Macaca fascicularis: one gene and its partners. The protein of the gene in region 2 interacts with the protein of the main gene of each other region in a biochemical or structural test. Links are inferred from orthologs where the notes say so. Each region holds a gene or a part of one and is shown on either strand. Other genes may lie near its edges.

Region 1 (4,268 bases), on a different chromosome or scaffold from region 2:
TTAAATTACGTTTCCATAGCTGCCCAGGTCAGGGCATTCAACATATCAATCGCAATCCAGGTGGGAAATGTAAGGACTTATGAAACAGTCCTCATCCCAAGAAGGGAATCTTTGGTTTTGAGAAAGTAAAAGGAAGGCACATTCCACTAGCAGTTAGGTCGCAGTCAGTCTTGTTTACTCCTCTTCTACCAGGAAACCCATCTTTACGTTTCTCCAACTGGCAGAATATTATTTGCATTAAGGTTGGGGCGGGAAATTAAAGAAAAATAAAATTAAAAAGAAAAAGAAATAAGTTTTCCTGTTTTAGGCTAACTTGTCCCAGAGGCAGCAACAGCACAGCCCAGATCCAGGAAGAGTCTTGCTAATATTATCGAATGTGCTCTGGAGACTCTCCCAGCACTCCCTCAACACAGGGAGAAGAAAAACAAATTTTCCTTTGTTTTATGGAATCAGTTTATAGACTCTTGTTCTCTGTAACTAGTGATTTCAAGTATTCTGTTTTATCTAAGAAGCACAACGAAGGTCATGAGAAGCCTGAGTAGGCCTGAACTACAGCTGCCTGGGCACCATAGTGAAGGTTATAGGATAAGCCTGTGCCCAGGGAAACCTAGATAACGAACATCTGGGTTGCTTGGCGATGGCCATGTGCAGTCCTGCCTTTGTCCTGCCTCTGTATCCCTGCTTTGCCACCACCGTAAGTTTGCTTCAAGCTAGCCCACCTCCTTTTGTGAAGTGTGTATAAAAGTCAAGTACTGTCTTTATTCTGGGCCCAGTCTATTGCATGTGAGTCAGCTGGGCCTGAGTGCACTCGATCAAGATTCTCCTGTTTCAACCCGAGGTCTCTCTCGTCCTCCTGAATCCCGCAACAAGGTGAGTGTAACAGAGAAAGCATAGGCCTGAAAGGAGCAAGCTTTGAGAAGCACTCTTACCTTTAACAGAAAATCCCAGATACATACTATTTACATTTTGATCTCCAACTGATCACTGGATAAAATCTATAATGTCTTTCCTCGCTCTGAATTTTTGTCACAAAAACACAAAATCCATCACTCCAAGGCTTCCTTTTAATGGTTTTCACTTTCACCTACCTTTAGCACTGTTCACCACACCCAAATCTCAAACTGGCCATTCAGATGTTTACTGAAATGTGGCTAATGAGGCTGGGCGTGGTGGCTTACGCCTCCAATCCCAGATCTTAAGTGCCTGTCTTCATATAGCTTTACAATAAATTTGTTTCTCTTAAAATTATCTGTGCACTAGATTAAGTTAAATTAAAATAAAATGTATTTAACTGTCTTCAAAATAAGGTATAGGCTATTTTCTTCCTGTAGACTACTGATAGCACGGATTTTGGAAAATCTCTTCTACTTGGTTTTCTGATTCAGTTCAGACTTGTGCTTACAAGTGAATCTTACGTAAATGTCACCTAAAAAGAGCTCAAGAAAACTCAAAAAATTATAACTTTTTCATAATTTGGTTAACTTTCAAGTCATTCACCAAAAGTCAGACCATGCTAGAAAGGGAAGGCTGAACAACATTCTTGTTTTACCACAGAGACAAAGACAATGCCAGTTAGCTGGCTTGATTCTCCCACTGATGGGCAGAATGTTTACATTTTAACAATAACTTCATAAATAAAAACAGATGTAGTACGTGTTTTCAGTGCATAAAGATCATATATTTTATGAATCCACCTCTCACCTTACTTCTGGACAGACCACATCTGACTTCGAACGTACTTACTGCAATCAAAAGTGTTTTGTAAGGGACGCTCCTCAGGAATTAGCCCTAAACAAGCTCACTAAACCCTCCATACATAACCTGGAGAAACTTCCACAATAATGAAACCCCATATAGCACTGGCTTCTAAACATATGGTGCATTTCCATTCATTTTTAGGGACAGCCCCTAAAGTAGTTTTTGGTTCAACAACCCTGGAAGAGGACCTTTGCACCTTTGCTCATCTTACACATCAAGTGTTCATGAACAACTCTGATGCCACTAAGTTTTGTTCACAAAATTGCACCTCGGTCATTGTGTTTTACCAAAAAAAAAAAAAAAAAAAAAAGTTATATTGCAAAAGGCAGTAGATGTAATCTTGGCTATTATTTACTCTCAATTTTTCTTTCACCTCAGCCCTCCAACGAGAAGTTTAAAAGGAAACATCCGAGGGAGCAAGAAGTTTAGATTCATCTGGAGGAGTTTCTGTGGCGCCCAGCCACCCTCACCAGGTGCCTTCCATTAGAGTTTAATGCTTTGCTGGGGTTTCCTGAAAGAGCCCCACAAAGAGTGGGTCTCGATGGGTCCTGAACCGCACGACAACTGGCCAGGGCCTCGAGGGCGAGGGGCGGCGGCGGGGCGAAGGCTTCGGGACCCTACACGGTCCGGGGGACCATGAGCGAGGACCGGGGGTGCGGGGCCGCCTGGCGTCCCCGGTGAGGCGGTCTTCACGGGAACGCTCAGAGCAGGGGCGGGCGGGCGAGGGCTTGGAACGCACACACTGGGGCCCCGGGCCCGCGTCGCTGAGCTGGAGAGCCCGGCGGTGCGGGCCGGGTACGGCATGGGCACTTTGGCCCCGTCACTGACAGTTGGCACCTGGGGTCCAGGTCGGCCGAGGCCACACCGGGGCGCAGGGCGGCGCAGATGAGGCTGTACCTGGCAGGTACCCACGTACCTATCATGGTCACTGGGCAGGTGGCGGCTGCGGGCCAGGAAAGGGCCTACGCGCGCACCGGCGCCAGCCAGCGCCTCCCACCAGCGGCTCTCCTGGGTTAAATCTTCCAGGGCTCCCCGCCCCGGCGCCGGGCCCTAGGAATGCGCACGCGCGGAGGGTACGCGGCCCAGGGCCTGCTGGGAGTCGTAGTTTTAATGCGTAGTTTCTCCTCACGCCTCCTGCCCTCCAGCTCACCGCCGCCTCCCTTTCCGGCTTCAGGCCCAGCAATCGTACGTCACCGAGGGGCGGAGCTATGCGCCCGCAGTGTTGACCAGTCGCTTAGCAACCGGGAGGCTTACCTTTGGAAGCTTGTTGCAGCTCTAGCTACGGTCCTGCCCTCTTCCCGCCCCACCCCTCCCCTAAACTCCCTTCACCTAGGAGCTGCCAAACATCTGGATCAACCTGGGCACTACGAGGGGTTGAATTTCTACCATTAACGCGCCTTTTGACATTTTTTTCCCGACCTCCTGCTCACATCCGTAAAACCCACTGATTCTTTTACTACACTTTTTATGAGAACAAGACATTTTCTAGGAAGATGGTGGCAGAAAAAGAGACCCTGAGCTTAAACAAATGCCCAGACAAGATGCCGAAGAGGACCAAGCTGCTGGCACAACAGCCGCTCCCGGTGCACCAGCCTCACTCCCTGGTTTCTGAGGGCTTCACAGTCAAAGCCATGATGAAAAACTCAGTCGTAAGTGATCTTCCTGAATTGAATGCACTCGCTCCGTATCAGGGGACACGAGATTTACAGAGGTTGGCCAGCCCTAGGATGGACTCTGAGCCCATGTCCTGGGTGGTCTTTGCCAAAAATGGCAATTACTTGGCAAGTAGCAGACGGTCCCCCACAGTGTGTGGGGGGCAGGCTAGGTTGTTAGAATCCTGGGCAAATGATATACTCTGCCCATTGATAAGCACCTTCCTGATAACTCATCGTTTCTAAACCGCCCAAAATTACTCTTACGCTATTTACACGAGGTAAAAAGATCCCCTTTAATTACTGATTGCTAACTAACCCCACTCAGCAAAGGGCCTTACAGAAGATGAGCTCTTAGAAATCATAAACTCTTGCAAAATTTAACATGAGCTGATATACAACTGGGAACATAAACTCATTAAATAATCTATAATGAGAAATTTTGGAATATCCTAGCAGTTACTCTAACAACACTTGTCTCTTAGAAAATGATGTCATCTTGTTAGAGTACTGAAAGCCCACTTAATATGAACACTGTTTCCTGACAGGCCTTTTAAGATGATGTGCTTTAAACAATACAAGCTTTAGCTCATGTGTCTCTGCTACTAATACAATTCATATTTCATCTGCATTATTTGTAGTAACAAAAATAAAATATTCTAAGTATCATTAGAGGAAAAAAAGATTAAAAATACATACAAATATTTTAGCTGTCTGCATGATAGTATCTATTTTTTAAACCTTCCTATTTGTTACATAGCTTTACACTTGGTATGCTAAGGCAGATTTTGCTACTGAGTAAGCACCTGTCTGGGAATGAGGCATTAAATAATAAATGCAGCTTTCAAATTCATATAA
Region 2 (3,500 bases):
ATCTTGCTTTGAAACTTGGTGTACACTCAAGTTAAGGACATAGACTTAATTATTCTACCTCATCCACTGGTCCCTAAAAGGCCAACTTTGGAAACCGTTTGTCTGCTGATGGTTCACCTAGTTTGTTTGGGAACTGCTGCTGGACTCATCTATGTCCAAAGGCCTGCTCTCAGATGTGCCAGCCAGCTGGCCTTAGAGGGCGGCACCCAGCATTATGCCTTCAAGACTAGAATTCATTCTTCCTGAATGAAGAACAACTTACAGCGGTTGTAATGTGACCCTTTTTGAGTCAAGGAAATGCCACCCGCACATGGTACTAGAACTGAAAGGAAGCAGCCTTGCTCGCACAGCTGTTGGCAGGAGCTGTCATGGATAATTTGCATGCCCAATTCTTTGTACATTGGGTGGGGAAGAGCTTTATCTGGCTTTGCTCTTCCAACTGAAAGTGTTTGGGCTTCCTCTGAAGGCGACCAATGTGCTGTGGTCGCCACTCTGTGCTGTGTCTTTGAGGTAGCACTTAGAGCCCAAGTTTCCACGTTCATTATAGTGACCCCAGTTGTCTATTTTTTTAAAGCAGAGACCACCGCCAGGCTGGTGGTCTCTGCTTAAAAAAAAAAAAAAAAAGCCAAGTGCGGTGGTTCAGGCCTGTAATCTCAGCACTTTTGGAAGACAAGGCAGGAGGACGGCTTGAGTCCAGGAGTTCAAGACCAGCCTGGACAACATGGCGAAAACCCATCTCTACCAAAAAATACAAAAATTAGCTGGGCGTGCTTGTGCATGCCTGAAGTCCTAGCTGCTTAGGAGGCTGAGGCAGGAGGATGGCTTGACCCCAGGAGGCAGAGGTTGCAGTGAGCTGAGATCGCACCACTGCACTCCAGCCTGGGCAACAGAGGGAGACCCTGTCTCAAAAAAAAAAAAAAAAAGCCAAGTCTCAGACTTTCATACGGCTTCCATGCTAGTGGGATTGTTACCTGCCTAATATCTTCAGCAGAGTTACCATTTTATAACTTTAAAAATCAGACATCTTAGAGTAGGAATAGCTTAAGAAAATATTCTAAATGAACTTTAGTGTTTTTCAGATACTGAAAACTGAATACATATCTGAAACCTTTAAAAGAAAAGCATAGTGCTTTGGTTTATAATAGTTCCTTATTTTATTGGGTATTTGAATTAGCCTGCAAGATTCGAGATTCAGAGGTCTTAAGGAGTATCTAGACTAGCTTCCTGTAGACTTAATAGTATGACCTGTGACCATCACTTGATTTGGTTTTAACTAGGTGGATAGTCATTCTGTTTGTTTCGAGTTAAGGAAAAGAGAAAGTCCTTTATTGTTTAACATATTTGGCTAGTCGCGCAACAAAAAAAAATGTCACATTTGGTGGGTTTTTGTTTTAAACTGAGGGGACTTTAATATATATGGCAGCCAATTTACATTTTTGATCTTTTATACTCATGAACGTGAAGTGCTTATGTAAATATTTTTATTGACAATTCTGTTTTCCTTTTGTGAAATTTTAGTAGATGCGTGTACTCACTAAAAAACAAATCTTTGAGTTGTGACAAAAAATACCATAATGTATCTTTTTGGAAGCACTTTCAGAGGTCATGCCCAGTATCTTACTGAGTTGCAAGTGACTTTGCAGTGTTTTTGGGTAATGTAGGAGCTGTTTGCATCTTATCTCACCTCTCCTGTGTATTTTTCATTTACAGCCTTGGGACAATAATACAGGCTGTGCAGACCCCTGCTCCCTGATCCCCACACCTGACAAAGAAGATGATGAGCGGGTTTACCCAAACTCAACGTGCAAGCCTCGGATTATTGCACCATCCAGAGGCTCCCCGCTGCCTGTACTGAGGTCAGTGCCGACTCTACCACGTGGCTTCCAGGTCTCTTACTCCATACTCCCCTTTATCCCTCATAGCATGGACGCATTCTCACCCCTGTGTGGGCCTCATTTTTGTTGTGTGTTTTGTTGTAGCTGGGCAAATAGAGAGGAAGTCTGGAAAATCATGTTAAACAAGGAAAAGACATACTTAAGGGATCAGCACTTTCTTGAGCAACACCCTCTTCTGCAGCCAAAAATGCGAGCAATTCTTCTGGATTGGTTAATGGAGGTGAGCTTGAGTCTTCCTGTTGCCTTCATGAAAGCACTGAGCATTTCCAGCATTTTTGTGTATTAGGATCTCTGTGTGGTTGATTCCCTTGACACGTTCTCCATCTCTGAAGCTATATGGTATATTTACTGAGGTGGTCTTTCTGTTTTGCTTGTATTCTTAGCAAGAATTTCTGAAATCTTTTTTTTTTTCTTCTTTTCTTTTTTTTGAGATGGAGTCTTTGTCACCGAGGCTGGAGTGCAGTGGCAAAATCTCGGCTCACTGCAACCTCTGCCTCACAGGTTCAAGCGATTCTCCTGGCCTCAGCCTCCTGAGTAGCTGGGATTACTGGCACACGCCACCACACCCGGCTAATTTTTGTATTTTTAGAAGAGACAGGGTTTCACCATGTTGGCCAGGCTGGTCTTGAACTCCTGACCTCGTGATCCACCCACCTTGGCCTCCCAGAGTGCTGGGATTACAGGCCTGAGCCATCGTGCCTGGCTAAACTGCTTTTAAATGTACCCACTGGAACGCATATATCACCTCTTTGATAGCTACTGTCATAAATTATAAACACGTGTGAACAAGTTTATCTTAAGCAGGTCTGACATTGTTCCTTTTTAACTTCTTGGAATCCATTCCCTTTTGCCACCATTCCCATTTATTCTAATAAAATATACTGTTCAAATCCTGGCTGGGCACGGTGGGTCATGTCTCTAATCCCAGCACTTTGGGAGGCCAAGGCAGAAGGATCCCTTGAGCCCAGGAGTTGGAGACTAACCTGGGCAACATGGCAAGACCCCATGTCTTTTCTTTTTTTTTTTTTGAGACAGAGTTTCGCTCTTGTTGCCCAGGCTGGAGTGCAATGGTGCGATCTTGGCTCACTGCAACCTCTGCCTCCCGGTTTCAAGCGATTCTCTTGCCTCCAGCTCCTGAGTAGCTGGGATTACAGGCATACGCCACCATGCCTGACTAATTTTGTATTTTTAGTAGAGACAGGGTTTCTCCATGTTGGTCAGGCTGGTCTTGAACTCCTGACCTCAGGTGATCCGCCTGCCTTGGTCTCCCAAAGTGCCGGGATTACAGGTGTGAGCCACTGCACCCGGCCCTCAAGACCCCATTTCAACAAAACATAAAAAATTGTCAGGGTATAGTGGCTCACGCTTGTAGTCACAACTACTGCGGAGGCTGAAATGGGAGGATTGCTTGAGCCTGGGAGTTGGAGCCTGCAGTGAGCCATGATAGTGCCACTGCACTCCAGCCTGGGTGATCATGGGACTCTGTCTCAATTTTTTTTAGCACATTTTTAAAGATATTTGGACCATTGGAGTGGCTTCTGTATTTTGAGACAGAGTTGCTCTGTCACCTAAGCTGGAGTGTAGTGGTGCAGTCATGGCTCACTA
Region 3 (3,999 bases), on a different chromosome or scaffold from region 2:
AATCCCAGCACTTTGGGAGGCCAAGGCTGGAGGATCGCCTGAGTCCAGGAGTTTGAGACCCGCCTGGACAAGATGGTAAGATCCCACCCCCCACCCCCACCCCCCCCACCCCCCCCCCCCCCCCCCCCCGCCGCCGCCCAACTCTACAAAAAACAAAACAATTGCTGGGCGTGGTGGTGCATGCCTGTAGTCTCAGTTACTTAGGAGGCTGAGGCAGGAGAATCTCTCAAATCCAGGTGAAGACAGTGAGCCAAGAGAATGCCACTGCACTCTAGCCTGGGCGACAGAGCAAGACTCTGTCTTGAAAATATGAAATTTAAAAAAGACCCTAAGTTTCTACCCTTGACACCCCTGCGGTTGAGTCTCAACACATCAGTGTGTCCTTTTTAGAAGGTTAAATCAGGTCCCATCACAACTGTGCTCAACATTACCTCCAGCCTGATCTCTCCCAACTCTCTCCTTTGCTCATTCTACTCTTAGAATATGGCTTCCCTGTTCCTGGAACAAATGTGTCACATTTATGCACCAGGGTCTTTGCATTGGCTATTCCTTCTGCCTGGAGCTCTTTTCTCCATGATATCTGCATGGCACACTCCCTTGCCTCCTTTATGTCTTTGCTTAAAGGTCACTGTCCAGTTGAGGCTTTCCCTCAATACCTGGTTTAAAAGTGCACTCTATCTTCCCACCCCAGGACCTGCATTCCCTCTTGGCTTGTTCCATTTTTGTTTTTAGCCATAGCACTTATCACCTTCTAACATACTATATAAAAATAGTTATTGTGTTTATTGTTTTCTCTCACTAGAATGGATGCTCCCTGAGAGCAGAAATGTTTATGTTGTGCCCACTGGTGTATCTCCAGCACCTGGAACACTGCCTAGCACATGGTATGTGCTCAGCAAATATTTGCTGCATTACTGTTTTAAATAGCTTACTAGTAAGAAAAACTGATAACCCCAGGTCAATGCCCTATTTACCCTATGGCTTTTGCATACTCCAGGGTTCTGGTTCACTCTGGGAGGCACTCATTCACCTGCTTGAGAAACTAGGGGATGGGGAGCTATTAAGGAGGGAAGAAATAGTTTTTCAGTCAATCCATTCTAGTTCTAGGGGATAGATCTGGGGAGAAGGTTGGAATTATGAATCTGCTCCAATAGTTGAGGCAAGAGAAGATAAGAACTTGAGAAATAGTTACCAGAGAAGAGAGAAAGATGCAATGAATGAGTGGATGTTGGGGGCGGTGGGAATCGGACTGACTCTCAGGTTTTTGGGTTGGGTGATTAAACAGATAGTGTCAGCAGTAATGGAGACAGAACACACCAGAGAAGATAATATGGGAGTGGGAGTGGGCCTGGGGAGATAATTCTCCCCCACTTAGGTGAACGTTCACTTCAGCAGTCCACTGATAAATAACTTAAGTGATTAAGACAAAAAGCTCACTCAGGGGTACAAAGCAAAAGAATCCTACAAGAAGACCACTGCTTTGTTTCTATTAATTGGTGGCACCGAGCTGGCCTTTAGGAAGACAGATTCCCTTCTAAGGAAAAAGGCAGGAATGTCTTCTCATGGGTTAAAATTTTCAGGGTGATTATGCACCAGAACGCACACACACACACATATATATACACACATACACACACACACATATATACCTACCAAGATTCCTGCATACTTGACGACTTGCCCTATTGTGTTGAAAAAACAGCTTCAGAATTAGGCAATCTTAAAAGGAACCCATGGTAAAGATCCCTGAACAAAGGTTTCCCAACAACATAGCTAAATCCACCCTTTGCATAACTTACATTTTTACCCTCATATCCTTACCTGGAAAGTTCTCTCGATTTAGCTTAGGCCTGCGGACAATCACAAAGTCTTTTTCACTCCCTTTGCTCTTCAGCCGTTTCCGTGGGGGGCTCTCCGGGTGGCCCAGGTTTGAGAATAGTTCCTGGGGGATGTTCTCACTGTCGGGCTCCTCTTTCTCCAGGGCGGAGACCCCCATGCCTGACAGCAGTTCAGAAGTCTTGCTGGAATCCCATCCCCACGTGAAGCTGGTGGCAACGTTGCTACTCAGGTCTGGAATCTCCTGAAGGTGCTTCCTGCAGAAGTGCACAATACCCCCGGTTCCTTTCGAAAACACACCCATAAATAATTCCAAGGAAGGCATTAAAGAAGCTGCAGTTTATGTATTGTGGAAAACCTTCACAGCAGCTAACACAATCGCATTTTTTTACGTGCCCGCGGAGAGTTACCAAGAAAATGAAGAAATGAAAAGAACAAATCGAGAAGGCTCTTTGACTTACGATCCTGCAGAAGGCCTCAAGAATTTCTCCCAGCGGAGGGAACAGACAAGGAGAGAGACAGGGCAATCATACACTGATTGAAAACGGTGGCAGAAAAGCCCAATTAAGGAAGCCAGATAAAACCGCACGCTGATCCCCGCACTAAGGCATTCATCCATTCACACTTTCCCCAAGAAGGGGCTAAGCAACCATTCACTTAACAGCATTACTAACAATATTAGCCAGTAGCGATATTCGCGGCCTAAAAGAATTATTAAGAGGGTCCATTCATGCTCTTCCCTTTTTGAATCCGTTTACCTGTGCATAGCGTCCGCAGGCTCGGGAGTTTAAAATACGTGCATTAATTGCAGAGCTGCTCGCCTCCCGGATTCCCGATTTGGCGCGCGGCGGCTCCGAGCGTGCTGCTCGGACCCCCAGGAGCCAGACCCGCTAAGTCTAGCAACGTTCCATCCCCACCGCGCGCGCAAGACTCTACAGCCCGCTTTGCTTCGCGGCCGCACTCTGAGGCCCCACGGCCTGCTGGGAATTGTAGTTTCCGTCCCGTTTCGTAGTCCGACGGGCTCGCCCTAACTTCCTTCCCTTGCAGCTTTACCCGCCTTCCAGATACCCACAACCCCCCGCGGGAGCGGGACTGGTCGGCCCATGGGGTAGGCGGGGAGGCGGAAGCGGGCGGTGCTACGGCTGACTGGGAAATGTCAGCCGCTGGACTGTGGACGGATTTTTCTTTCCTGGGAGCCGGCAGGCCTTCTGGTGATCACCAGCGCTGTCGTCTCTGAGCGTGGATCCCAGAACCTGAACAGCTGTGACGGCCGCCGCTTCCCGGTCCCATCCAGACGCTGTCTGGCGAGATCGGACAGTGAGCCTAAGGCGGAACGCGTGAGGCGCTTTTGAGTGTGGGGTCCGAGGCCGAGCGCAGGCGGAAAGAGAGGGGACCCGGCAGACCCCAAGTGGCCGCCGCCGCGGGGCCCACGTCCCTAGCTGCTGAGTGGGGACAGTAGCCCAGCCCGCTGGCCAGGTGAGAGGCTGCGAAATGCGGGCGTCGCACCTGTTCGTCCTTTTGCCAGGAAGCTTCTTCCTCCGTGGGGGAGAAGGCGGCCCTTAGAATTGGGTCTGTGGACAGGATCCCTCCTTTATCTGTAAAATACGCACAACAGCTAAACATGAGTCGGAACGAAAGACAGTGGTTTAATTTTAGGGGAGCCGGAGACCCCAGCGGGTCCTGTGTGGTGGGAAGGCTGCGCATGCCCTTGCAGCCTTGACAAGTCTCATAAATAGTAACAGAGGAATAAATGAAAGGACGGTATTTTGCAACGGGCTTTACCCGTGCAACGCAGGGGGCCTCCAGCAAAGCCATTTGGTTGCTTGCTGTCGCTCAACTGGCTACGTGTGTTTGCGTCGCCGCCTAAAAGCAAGCTGCTTTAAGCCTATCTCTGCTGAGAAGAGTTTGGGGGCGGTTGGAGTAGAGAGCGTGACATATTCCAGGTACAATGACCATGCGAAATCCATTGGACAAACTATACTACAACTGTGACCCCGGGAAAACAGTGGAAGAGGGAAGGGGGATGAATTCTAAGCTTCATAAAAATGAAGATTTATAAAGTTCATAAGGAAGCATAACAGCTTCATCTCATATTAGAATATTCAGTGATGCTGTATGACACGCCCTCTGGTTTCCTTGAAAAAATGATTTACTCTATAGTGA
Region 4 (4,075 bases), on a different chromosome or scaffold from region 2:
AACTTTTCCGAAAGCAATGTGGTAGTATGTATCAAACACATTGAAAATGAGCAAATTCTTTTGACTCAGCAATTCACTTTATCCCAAGAAAGTAAGAACACTCAAAGACTGACCTATAATAATATTTTAAATGATGTTTATAAAAGCCAGAAACTAGAAAATAAAAAGGAAGGCAAATCACAGACTGATTAAATAAATCAGTTTGGATCAATAATCATGTAAGTTCTCGAAAAACTTACTTGACAGAAGGTTGTTCAGAGGATTTTTGTAATAATGTTTTTCCACTGAAAACACAGAACATACAGTACAGTTCCACTGTTATTAACGTTGAACCATATTAGTAGCTATCCAAAGGTTTAGAAAAATAACTACAGTTGACATTTTGGTGTAGGTCTCTGGGTGGCAGGCTTGTTTTGTCTTTTTATTTTTTCTTACCTAATCAGATTTGTCTTACACGTGCATCTTCTACAGGCCTGGCGCGGTGGCTGACGCCTGTAATCCAGCACTTTGCGAGGACGAGGCGGGCGGATCACGAGGTCAGGAGTTCGAGACCAGCCTGGCCAGCATGATGAAACCCGTCTCTACTAAAAATACAAAAAATTAGCTGAGCATGGTGGCGCACGCCTGTAGTACCAGCTACCGGGGAAGCTGAGGCAGAAGAACTGCATGAATCCGGCAGGCGGAGGTTGCAGTGAGCTGAGACTGCACTATTGAACTCCAGCCTGGGAGACACAGCGAGACTCTGCTTCAAACAAAAAAAAATTATCTTCTACAATCCTCAACTTCCTTCTTAGACTGCGTTCTCTATATTAAAAAATTAAGACTTCCACTATTTAGTAATGGCACTAGGTATCAGACATTTTTCTATTATGCAAAACGCTGTATTCAAACAGTGCCTGAATAGATGATTCAATTTTTAAAACTGTTACTTATAATACTATAAAAATCTGTTAATGATAGAAAGTCAACGAGTTGACAGTGCCATACTTCTAATTTGTCAATGAATATTTAGCCAACCAATTTATGTTAAAAACGAAATGATGACTGACAAGCAAGAGGCAATAGTAAGTAACTTGCTGCTCATATATGTTTCCTTCCAGGTTTTCTAAAAGTTACACTAAATCAAGCTTCATTTTTATTCTTCGGCCATATCCCTGATTCCTCAGGACAAGTGAGGTTTTTTCCCCCAAAGAAATGAAGATTTTTGATTTTCTAAAGCTCAAAAATGCAAAATCTGACGCATATGGTTCACTGAGATGTGGTTATCAACTTACACCAAGCCTAACTTACCACAAAATAGAAAATATCAGAGAAAGGAGTTCACAAGCAGAAAGTCTCTTCTTTCTAACAATAGAGTCTTGTCCGATATTAGACAACACTGCATTTTGTTGCCGTTTTAGCTACAAGGATGGGTATGCAATATGCAGTAACTATTCCAACAGCTTCAAGCAAGTAATATGCTACGACTAGAGAAAGTAGCAGTTAGGTCCCAAACAGCAAAAATGTAAAAAAGATGTAAGCAGAAGCCTCACCATCTGAAAAGGCCCATCAGCACCTCTTCCGAGAAATAGTTCCCTTCCCCCACCCTTTAAGTAGGCACTTGAGACTGCCAAGATCCATTTCTTTATTAACTGGTGCCCACTTGGGGCAACTGTACACCAAGCTGCTCTAAGGCCTACTCTAATCCCTTCCAAAAGTGCTCAAATGAGGCTAAGGCCGGGGTAACCCTCGTCGGGGCCCAATTCTTCCTGACTCCTCTTCCCCACCCCACCTCCTCCGCCCCGCCCCAGCAGGCGCTCGCCCAGCCAAAGAAAGGACACCGGGGCCAGGGACTGGCAGAAATTGCCCGCAAGAGAAGGCTTAGGCGGCCGAAGGCCTCCGCCATAGCAGGACTTGGGAAGCACCGCCCCCAGAGTACCTCCCCACACCCGGCTAATCGGCGAACCTCTGCTTTCGACACCCTCTATCCCCAGCAGAGGCAGCGGAGAAGACAAGGCCGGGAGGCACCGGGCTGGGCTGCGCACCAGGCCCAGGCCTGTCCCTTGGGACCGCGCGTGCAGCCTGAATCCGCTCCCCGGTTGAGCCCGGTCCAGCTGGCGCGGCGGCCACCCTCACCTGGATGACCTCGTTGACCTCCCGGATACATTCCACCATGTGTTGTAGAATCTGCTCGGCCGTGAGCACCTCGTAGCGGTAATCCTCCTCCTGCTCGTGCCCCGGCCCGCCACCACCGCCGCCGCCGCCGCCGCCACCGCCACCGCCGGGCCCCAGAGCGCTGCCGCCGCCACCGCCCGTCTCCCCGCACAGCAGTCCGTCCCGCTCCCCGCCGACGCCCAGGCCGGGCTCCACCAGCTCCACCTCGCCCAGATCCAGGGTATCATCGTCCGGCTCGTCGTCGTCTTCGTCCTCCTCCTCCTCGGCGCCGCTGTCCTCCTCACTGCACTCCTCGTCCTCGTCGAACTCGTAGTTGTAGCCCTCGTCCGAGTCCATGGCGCGACGCGCGGGGGCCCGGCGGACGCTGGCCGAGGCGGGGAGAGGGCGGGGACGCCGAGGCCCCGGCTCTCGCTCCGGCTCCGGCTGATGTCCGGACGCAGGCCTGGCTCCGGCCCCGCGGGCCGCGGCTCCTCCCCAGGAGCGGCGGTTGGCGTTTGACTGCTGGTGGCGGCGGGGAGGGCGCGGAGGAGGGAGGGAGGGAGCGAGGGGGCCGCTTGCTGCCCGCCTCAGTCAGACGCGGCTCCGCTCCGGCCTCCGAGAGAAAACAGTCCCCAGCGCCACCTCTACGGCCGCTGCTATCGCTACTGAGCCAACAAAGGGGCGTGCGTCACCGCGTCGCGTTGCGTCGTCGCGTCACTCCTCTTTGCGTCACTGCGCCCCGCCCCGCCGCCCCTGCGTGGAGCCCGGGGAGACCCCACGGCCCGGCCTACCTGGGCCTAGGACTTGAGCAGGAATTGCCTTCTCGGTTCGGTCCGCTGCCGCTGTGAGGGCCGAGCGGAAACCCGTAGAGCTTTTATGTGAAGAGATTGCGGCCTCCTGGTCACCAGTCGCCGAGAGAGGGACCCCTGGACCGCCTAGGTGGTGGTGTTTGCCGCAGGCCATAGGGATCCAGCCCCCTCCGGCAGTCCCATGGGGACGCGGCCTTCCCACCCGGGCGGAAAGGCGCTTCCCGCCCGCCCTGCGGTAATCCCGGAAGCCGTGATCTGTTAATCTAAAATTTCTGTTGCTTTGGCTACTGATGGAAACCTGTTGTAAGTGGAACCTCTAAACTGTATGACAGGCGAACCCACTTTAGGTAGCTGTGTGATTCTGTTCACTTGTACAGACATGCTGTGGTTTTTAAGTCTCCTATAATGACGTCATTTTAAAGAGGCATTTCCTCAACCCCGCTGATTAGAGCGCCTCTTGAGGGCCCTAAACAATGTAAACAGCGATGGTTTTCATGAATTGAGCACTGTGTAAGGGCTTTACATATATTCTGTTTCATCTTCATGGAGCCATAGTACCCATTTTATACCTGAGGAACCTGAAGCTCAGAAAGGAAAAGGGACCTGGCCAAGACCACATAACCCTTGCCCTATTTTAGCCACTGGATGCCCCAAAACATGAATCATAAAAATGCATTGTAATGCATATGTATTATATACTGTATAGTACATAAAAGACATGAATGCTTCAACAAAATACAGGCAATAATAGAAATATCTACAAGGGCCAAATGTAGCAAGAGAGATAATGCTTGAATCTCATCTGAAAGTGTGCTATGTGAGCTGAGTGTTGTTGAATGGCTAGTTCAACAGAGAAGGCAGGGAAGATGGTCTGGCCACAGAGACCAAGCAAAAGCGCAGAAGGTGTCAAGTAATTAATAGTTTGGGAGCTTAAAGTGCATGGAGGGTAGATGGCAAAATATTAGGCAAGTTAGTCAGGGGTCATGTCAGTAAGAGCATTTTATGCCTTTTTAAGAGTGGGCTTAAATCTTTGTAAACAGGACATGAGAGCCAGACAAGTGTTATGAAGGAAGAAGAGGCATAAGAAGGCTCCCTCTTGAGATAATCTGAAGAATTGGCCAGATTGAAAACCT
Region 5 (3,990 bases), on a different chromosome or scaffold from region 2:
CCTGCACCTGTAATTCCAGCTACTAGGGAAGCTGAGGCAGGAGAATTGTCTGAATCTTGGAGGCGGAGGTTGCAGTGAGCCAAGATGGGGCCACTGCATTCCAGCATGGGTGACAAGAGTTGAGACCTTGTCTCAAAATGAAAAATACTACTAGTCATGACATGCAAGGCAAGCACTTGCTGCCTTTAACAAAATGACACCAAGGTGTCCATCTCAAAACAGGAAGCAGGGTGAAGGAGACACTGTTCAGCATTACTTATATGTCAGCTCAGATGACGCAGACTCACCCACCCATAGCTCACATGTCTATGTAGCCTTACGGAAAGTGAAGTGTTAGAGCCCTTGCTCACCACACTGCTACAAATGATAATCCTATCCCCAGTTCTCTATTAAATTACATTCTACATACAGAAGCCTACATTACATTTTAAGACTTTTGCAGCCGGGCGTGGTGGCTCACGCCTGTAATCCCAGCACTTTGGGAGGCCGAGGCGGGGGGACAATGAGGTCAAGAGATTGAGACCATCCTGTCTAACACAGTGAAACCCCATCTTTACTAAAAATACAAAAAAATTAGCCGGGTGTGGTGGCGGGTGCCTGTAGTCCCAGCTACTCGGGAGGGTGAAGCAGGAGAATGGCATCAACCCCGGAGGCGCAGGTTGCAGTGAGCCAAGACTGCACCACTGCACTCCAGCCTGGGCAACAGAGCAAGACGCCGTCTCAGAAAAAAAAAGGACTTTTGCTCTTCCAATTCCTTTAACCTAAAGCATCTTTGCCCCAACGGTCTTATCTGTAAAAATACAGATAAACTCTGCAGTAATATGAATGCATGAAGAATGAAATGCACTGGCAATTTCCTCCATAGCAGCATCAATGAAATGATTTCATGACACTGTACTTCCAATAATTTGACCCTGTATTTTAGCCAGTAAGATTGCCTGAATGCCACTTACGGTGGTATGGTGAATTTTACTTTACTACCCATCCTTAAAGGGCAAGCGCACACCATCTCCTTACAGACATTCGAAGCCTATTTCCTTTCTTCATAAATAGCCATAAGGGCTCCTTTGTATTCTTCTTAATAATGTTTATCAATGGGCATGGTGGCTCACGCCTGTAATCCTAGCACTTTGGGAGACCGAGGCAGGCGGATCACCGGAGGTTGGGAGTTCAAGACCAGCGTGACCAACATGAAGAAACTCTGTCTCTACTAAAAAATACAAAATTAGCTGGGTGTGGTGGTGCATGCCTGTAATCCTAGCTACTTGGGAGGCTGAGGCAGGAGAATCACTTGAACCCGGGAGGTGGAGGTTGTGATGAGCCGAGATCATGCCATTGCACTCCAGCCTGGGCAACAAGAGCGAAACTCTGTCTCAAAAAAAAAAAAAAAAAAAAAAATGTTTATCACCCAATGCCGTGACTTCCTCAAGTTCTAACCAAAACTAACCTCCTGGGTGAAAAGGCATGTTTCAGGAAATTCACAGTATTGCTCCCCACACAACAGACTTAAATACCTGAATCTGTTGACTCAGAGGAGCCCATTCTCTGCAGATTACTGTTGTTCTTCACCTCCAGTGGTTGCTCATAATCACTGAAACCAACAGAAATAAACCATGAGTGATTTATAGGATATAATTAAAAGGTCACATGCAGGAGATAGGCCATGAGATTAAGCAGCAGCCACTTTAAGAAGCAGATTAAGAAGCAAAGATCCCACTTTGCCACTCTGAACACCCAATTAGCACTTGGGCAAAGGAGAAAAAAGGAGTGGGTGGGCATGACCTTGGACCACACTGCAGGTTATGATGGCTATGGCAAATATTGGGGTATTTCCTAAAACAAGAGCATGTGTCCTAGGTACTGTGACAGAGTTGGGATGAAAGTTGAACAGGGCACTTTCTGCTTTTCAGAAGTCGGGAAATGCACAAGACATGTGCTTAGCAAATGGGATGCCAGAGATTGAAGGGAAAGTAGCTCTTCCGCCGGAAACACCGTGGAATGCATTTTTTGCTATCAGGAAAAGCCCAGGAAGCTTTCAGAAAGTTAGGTAAAAAGACCTGGCCTTAGGAAAGCAGCAGAGTGGACATCAGGAATGTGCACGGGTCGAGGGACTGAGATGATTTTACATAAACGCCAGGAAAGAAAATGCCATGGTCCTTTATTGAGAAGGAACAAAGATCACAGCAAACTAAGATCCTGAGGGTGGTTTAGCAAAGGGTGAATGTGAGCGCCTAGAAGAGCCTGATTTTCCCCGCGGGGGTAGATTCCAAAGAGCTTCCAGGGATACAGACAGAAGTACAGTACGGAGCAATCCGAAATGGGTGAAGGTGGGCCTGGCTCGGGCTTAGGCCCGAGATCTACACCTCTTCCCCTGGGAGGTCCGGACCGCCTCTCCCGCCCAACATTCCGCCCGGGCGGGGGTGCACATGGCGGGCCCTAGCCCGGCTGGTCCCCGAGCGGCGAACCCGGACGGAAGGGTCTCGCCCTTCTCCCGGTCCGTTTCTTGGCCTGATCTCCCCGAGGCCGACGCCGAGGCCAGAGGCCTGGGACACCGCCCGCCGGTCTCTCCTCACCTGCCCAGCCCCTGCAGCTGGTCCATAGTGACGGTCAGGTTAGTGACAGGCGACAGTCCCCCGGCGGCTGGCGCGCCAAATAGCGCCTTCACGACGGGCTGCGGCGCGGGAGGGGGGCTGCAGGCGAAGAGCAGGCGGCGGCGGTGCGGGGGCTCCGGGCCCAGTTCCATGGCGGCGCCCGGCCTCGCAGATCTCCAGCTCCCTCTTCCTCCGCCTCCGCCGCGACCGCCCCGCCCCGCACACACCGGCCTCGGCCGCGCGCCACCGGCGCCCGCGGGTCAAACACAAACACGACTCCGCGGTTCAGGGACGCGGCTGCCGCGGGCAAGCGGCGCGGCCGGGCGGGTGTGCGGACCCTCCAGGCGCCAGCCACAGGCACGGGTGCTTCCCTCTCACACCGCGAGGCCAGCGGGCGGGCGGGCGCCGGCAACCTGAAGATTAAATCCAAACAAACGCGGCGGGTCAGCGAGAGAAGGCGGGCGAGAGCCTCGAGGCAACGGCCCAGACTCAAGCTGTCTTCGCTGTTCTCCCACCCGCTTGCCCAGCTCTGGGTAGCAGAAAACCGAGCCGACCTCCACCTCTTACCCAGGCTGTCGCAGCCAATCTGGCCTTTCGCGGTAATAGCAGCTCAGTGGGGGCCGCTGCTGCCCCGCCCCCCTTTCCTAGTTGGCGCCAAACGGAATCCACCAATCAGTAAGCAACTTCTCCTCCTCGCAACCGAATGGCAGCTAGGCTGGGCCAATGAGAGGGGAAGAAGGAAGCGGCTCGCGGGACTCTGCCAGGTCATCCGCTCTCAGAAGGGGGCGGAGCCTAGAGTGGACTAGCGCGGATCAAAATGAGCGGGGGGATCAGAGGTCAATGAAAACTCCCAGCAGACCCTGCGAGACACTGCTCGCGGCTGAAAGGCCCCCTTGCCCCGTCGCATGCTGGGAAGCGTAGTTCTCATCGCGAGGCGCCGTCCAGTTAGCTTCGGCCTCCGTTGGGCCTCCACTACCTCGCCCCCAACCTGGCGCCCGACACCCTGAGGGAATGTGGAGGCTAAGGAAGAGCTGTGGAGGTCTGGCCGGATCCAGCCTTGGCTCGGCCTCTAACCGTGCAGTATTGTGGACCCCTTTCTTCCGCCCCGGGCCTTCAGGCCCCAATTTATAATGAGGGAGGGAATGGAATGACCCCCAGGACTGGACTCGACCACCAGGGCCCAACTCTGGAGGGCTCACAGACCCCGGGTGCTGCTGGCCTTATGGGATTTGAACCCCGCAGTACAACATGTGCTGTGGGCCTCAGCATTGTTTGCTCACTTCCATTCTAGCCCTTACTGGATTCTCTTAGAATCATTTCTTTCTTCCCACGACTTCTTAGCCCCCTGGGAGCACCTAGAGAGCAATAACAGCAAATACAATAATAGCAAATAATAGCT

Evidence for each region.
Region 1: of the proteins of CCNE1 (region 2) and PRKN, one has a biochemical effect on the other in vitro, tested with the Homo sapiens proteins (2 studies listed by BioGRID). The link is inferred for Macaca fascicularis from reciprocal best matches to the Homo sapiens genes CCNE1 and PRKN.
Region 3: the proteins of CCNE1 (region 2) and SKP2 form a complex in vitro, tested with the Homo sapiens proteins (2 studies listed by BioGRID, with this or other methods). The link is inferred for Macaca fascicularis from reciprocal best matches to the Homo sapiens genes CCNE1 and SKP2.
Region 4: of the proteins of CCNE1 (region 2) and ARIH1, one has a biochemical effect on the other in vitro, tested with the Homo sapiens proteins (3 studies listed by BioGRID). The link is inferred for Macaca fascicularis from reciprocal best matches to the Homo sapiens genes CCNE1 and ARIH1.
Region 5: the proteins of CCNE1 (region 2) and CDC25A form a complex in vitro, tested with the Homo sapiens proteins (2 studies listed by BioGRID). The link is inferred for Macaca fascicularis from reciprocal best matches to the Homo sapiens genes CCNE1 and CDC25A.

The regions. Positions count from the first base shown.
Region 1 is NC_088378.1:8,403,053-8,407,320, reverse strand, and holds the start of PRKN (E3 ubiquitin-protein ligase parkin), read right to left. Parts: upstream 2,801-4,268; 5' UTR 2,682-2,800; coding exon 2,675-2,681; intron 1-2,674. Other genes in the region: PACRG (parkin coregulated gene protein), read left to right, coding at 3,252-3,407. UniProt on the Homo sapiens protein: Functions within a multiprotein E3 ubiquitin ligase complex, catalyzing the covalent attachment of ubiquitin moieties onto substrate proteins. Substrates include SYT11 and VDAC1.
Region 2 is NC_088393.1:37,078,930-37,082,429, forward strand, and holds part of CCNE1 (G1/S-specific cyclin-E1), read left to right. Parts: intron 1-1,710; coding exon 1,711-1,856; intron 1,857-1,979; coding exon 1,980-2,115; intron 2,116-3,500. UniProt on the Homo sapiens protein: Essential for the control of the cell cycle at the G1/S (start) transition.
Region 3 is NC_088380.1:36,439,747-36,443,745, reverse strand, and holds the start of SKP2 (S-phase kinase-associated protein 2), read right to left. Parts: upstream 2,801-3,999; 5' UTR 2,603-2,800; coding exon 2,595-2,602; intron 2,094-2,594; coding exon 1,822-2,093; intron 1,683-1,821; exon of another isoform or gene 1,654-1,682; intron 1-1,653. UniProt on the Homo sapiens protein: Substrate recognition component of a SCF (SKP1-CUL1-F-box protein) E3 ubiquitin-protein ligase complex which mediates the ubiquitination and subsequent proteasomal degradation of target proteins involved in cell cycle progression, signal transduction and transcription.
Region 4 is NC_088381.1:49,291,645-49,295,719, reverse strand, and holds the start of ARIH1 (E3 ubiquitin-protein ligase ARIH1), read right to left. Parts: upstream 2,801-4,075; 5' UTR 2,491-2,800; coding exon 2,116-2,490; intron 1-2,115. UniProt on the Homo sapiens protein: E3 ubiquitin-protein ligase, which catalyzes ubiquitination of target proteins together with ubiquitin-conjugating enzyme E2 UBE2L3.
Region 5 is NC_088376.1:111,123,734-111,127,723, forward strand, and holds the start of CDC25A (M-phase inducer phosphatase 1), read right to left. Parts: upstream 2,801-3,990; 5' UTR 2,744-2,800; coding exon 2,574-2,743; intron 1,592-2,573; coding exon 1,515-1,591; intron 1-1,514. UniProt on the Homo sapiens protein: Tyrosine protein phosphatase which functions as a dosage-dependent inducer of mitotic progression. Directly dephosphorylates CDK1 and stimulates its kinase activity. Also dephosphorylates CDK2 in complex with cyclin-E, in vitro.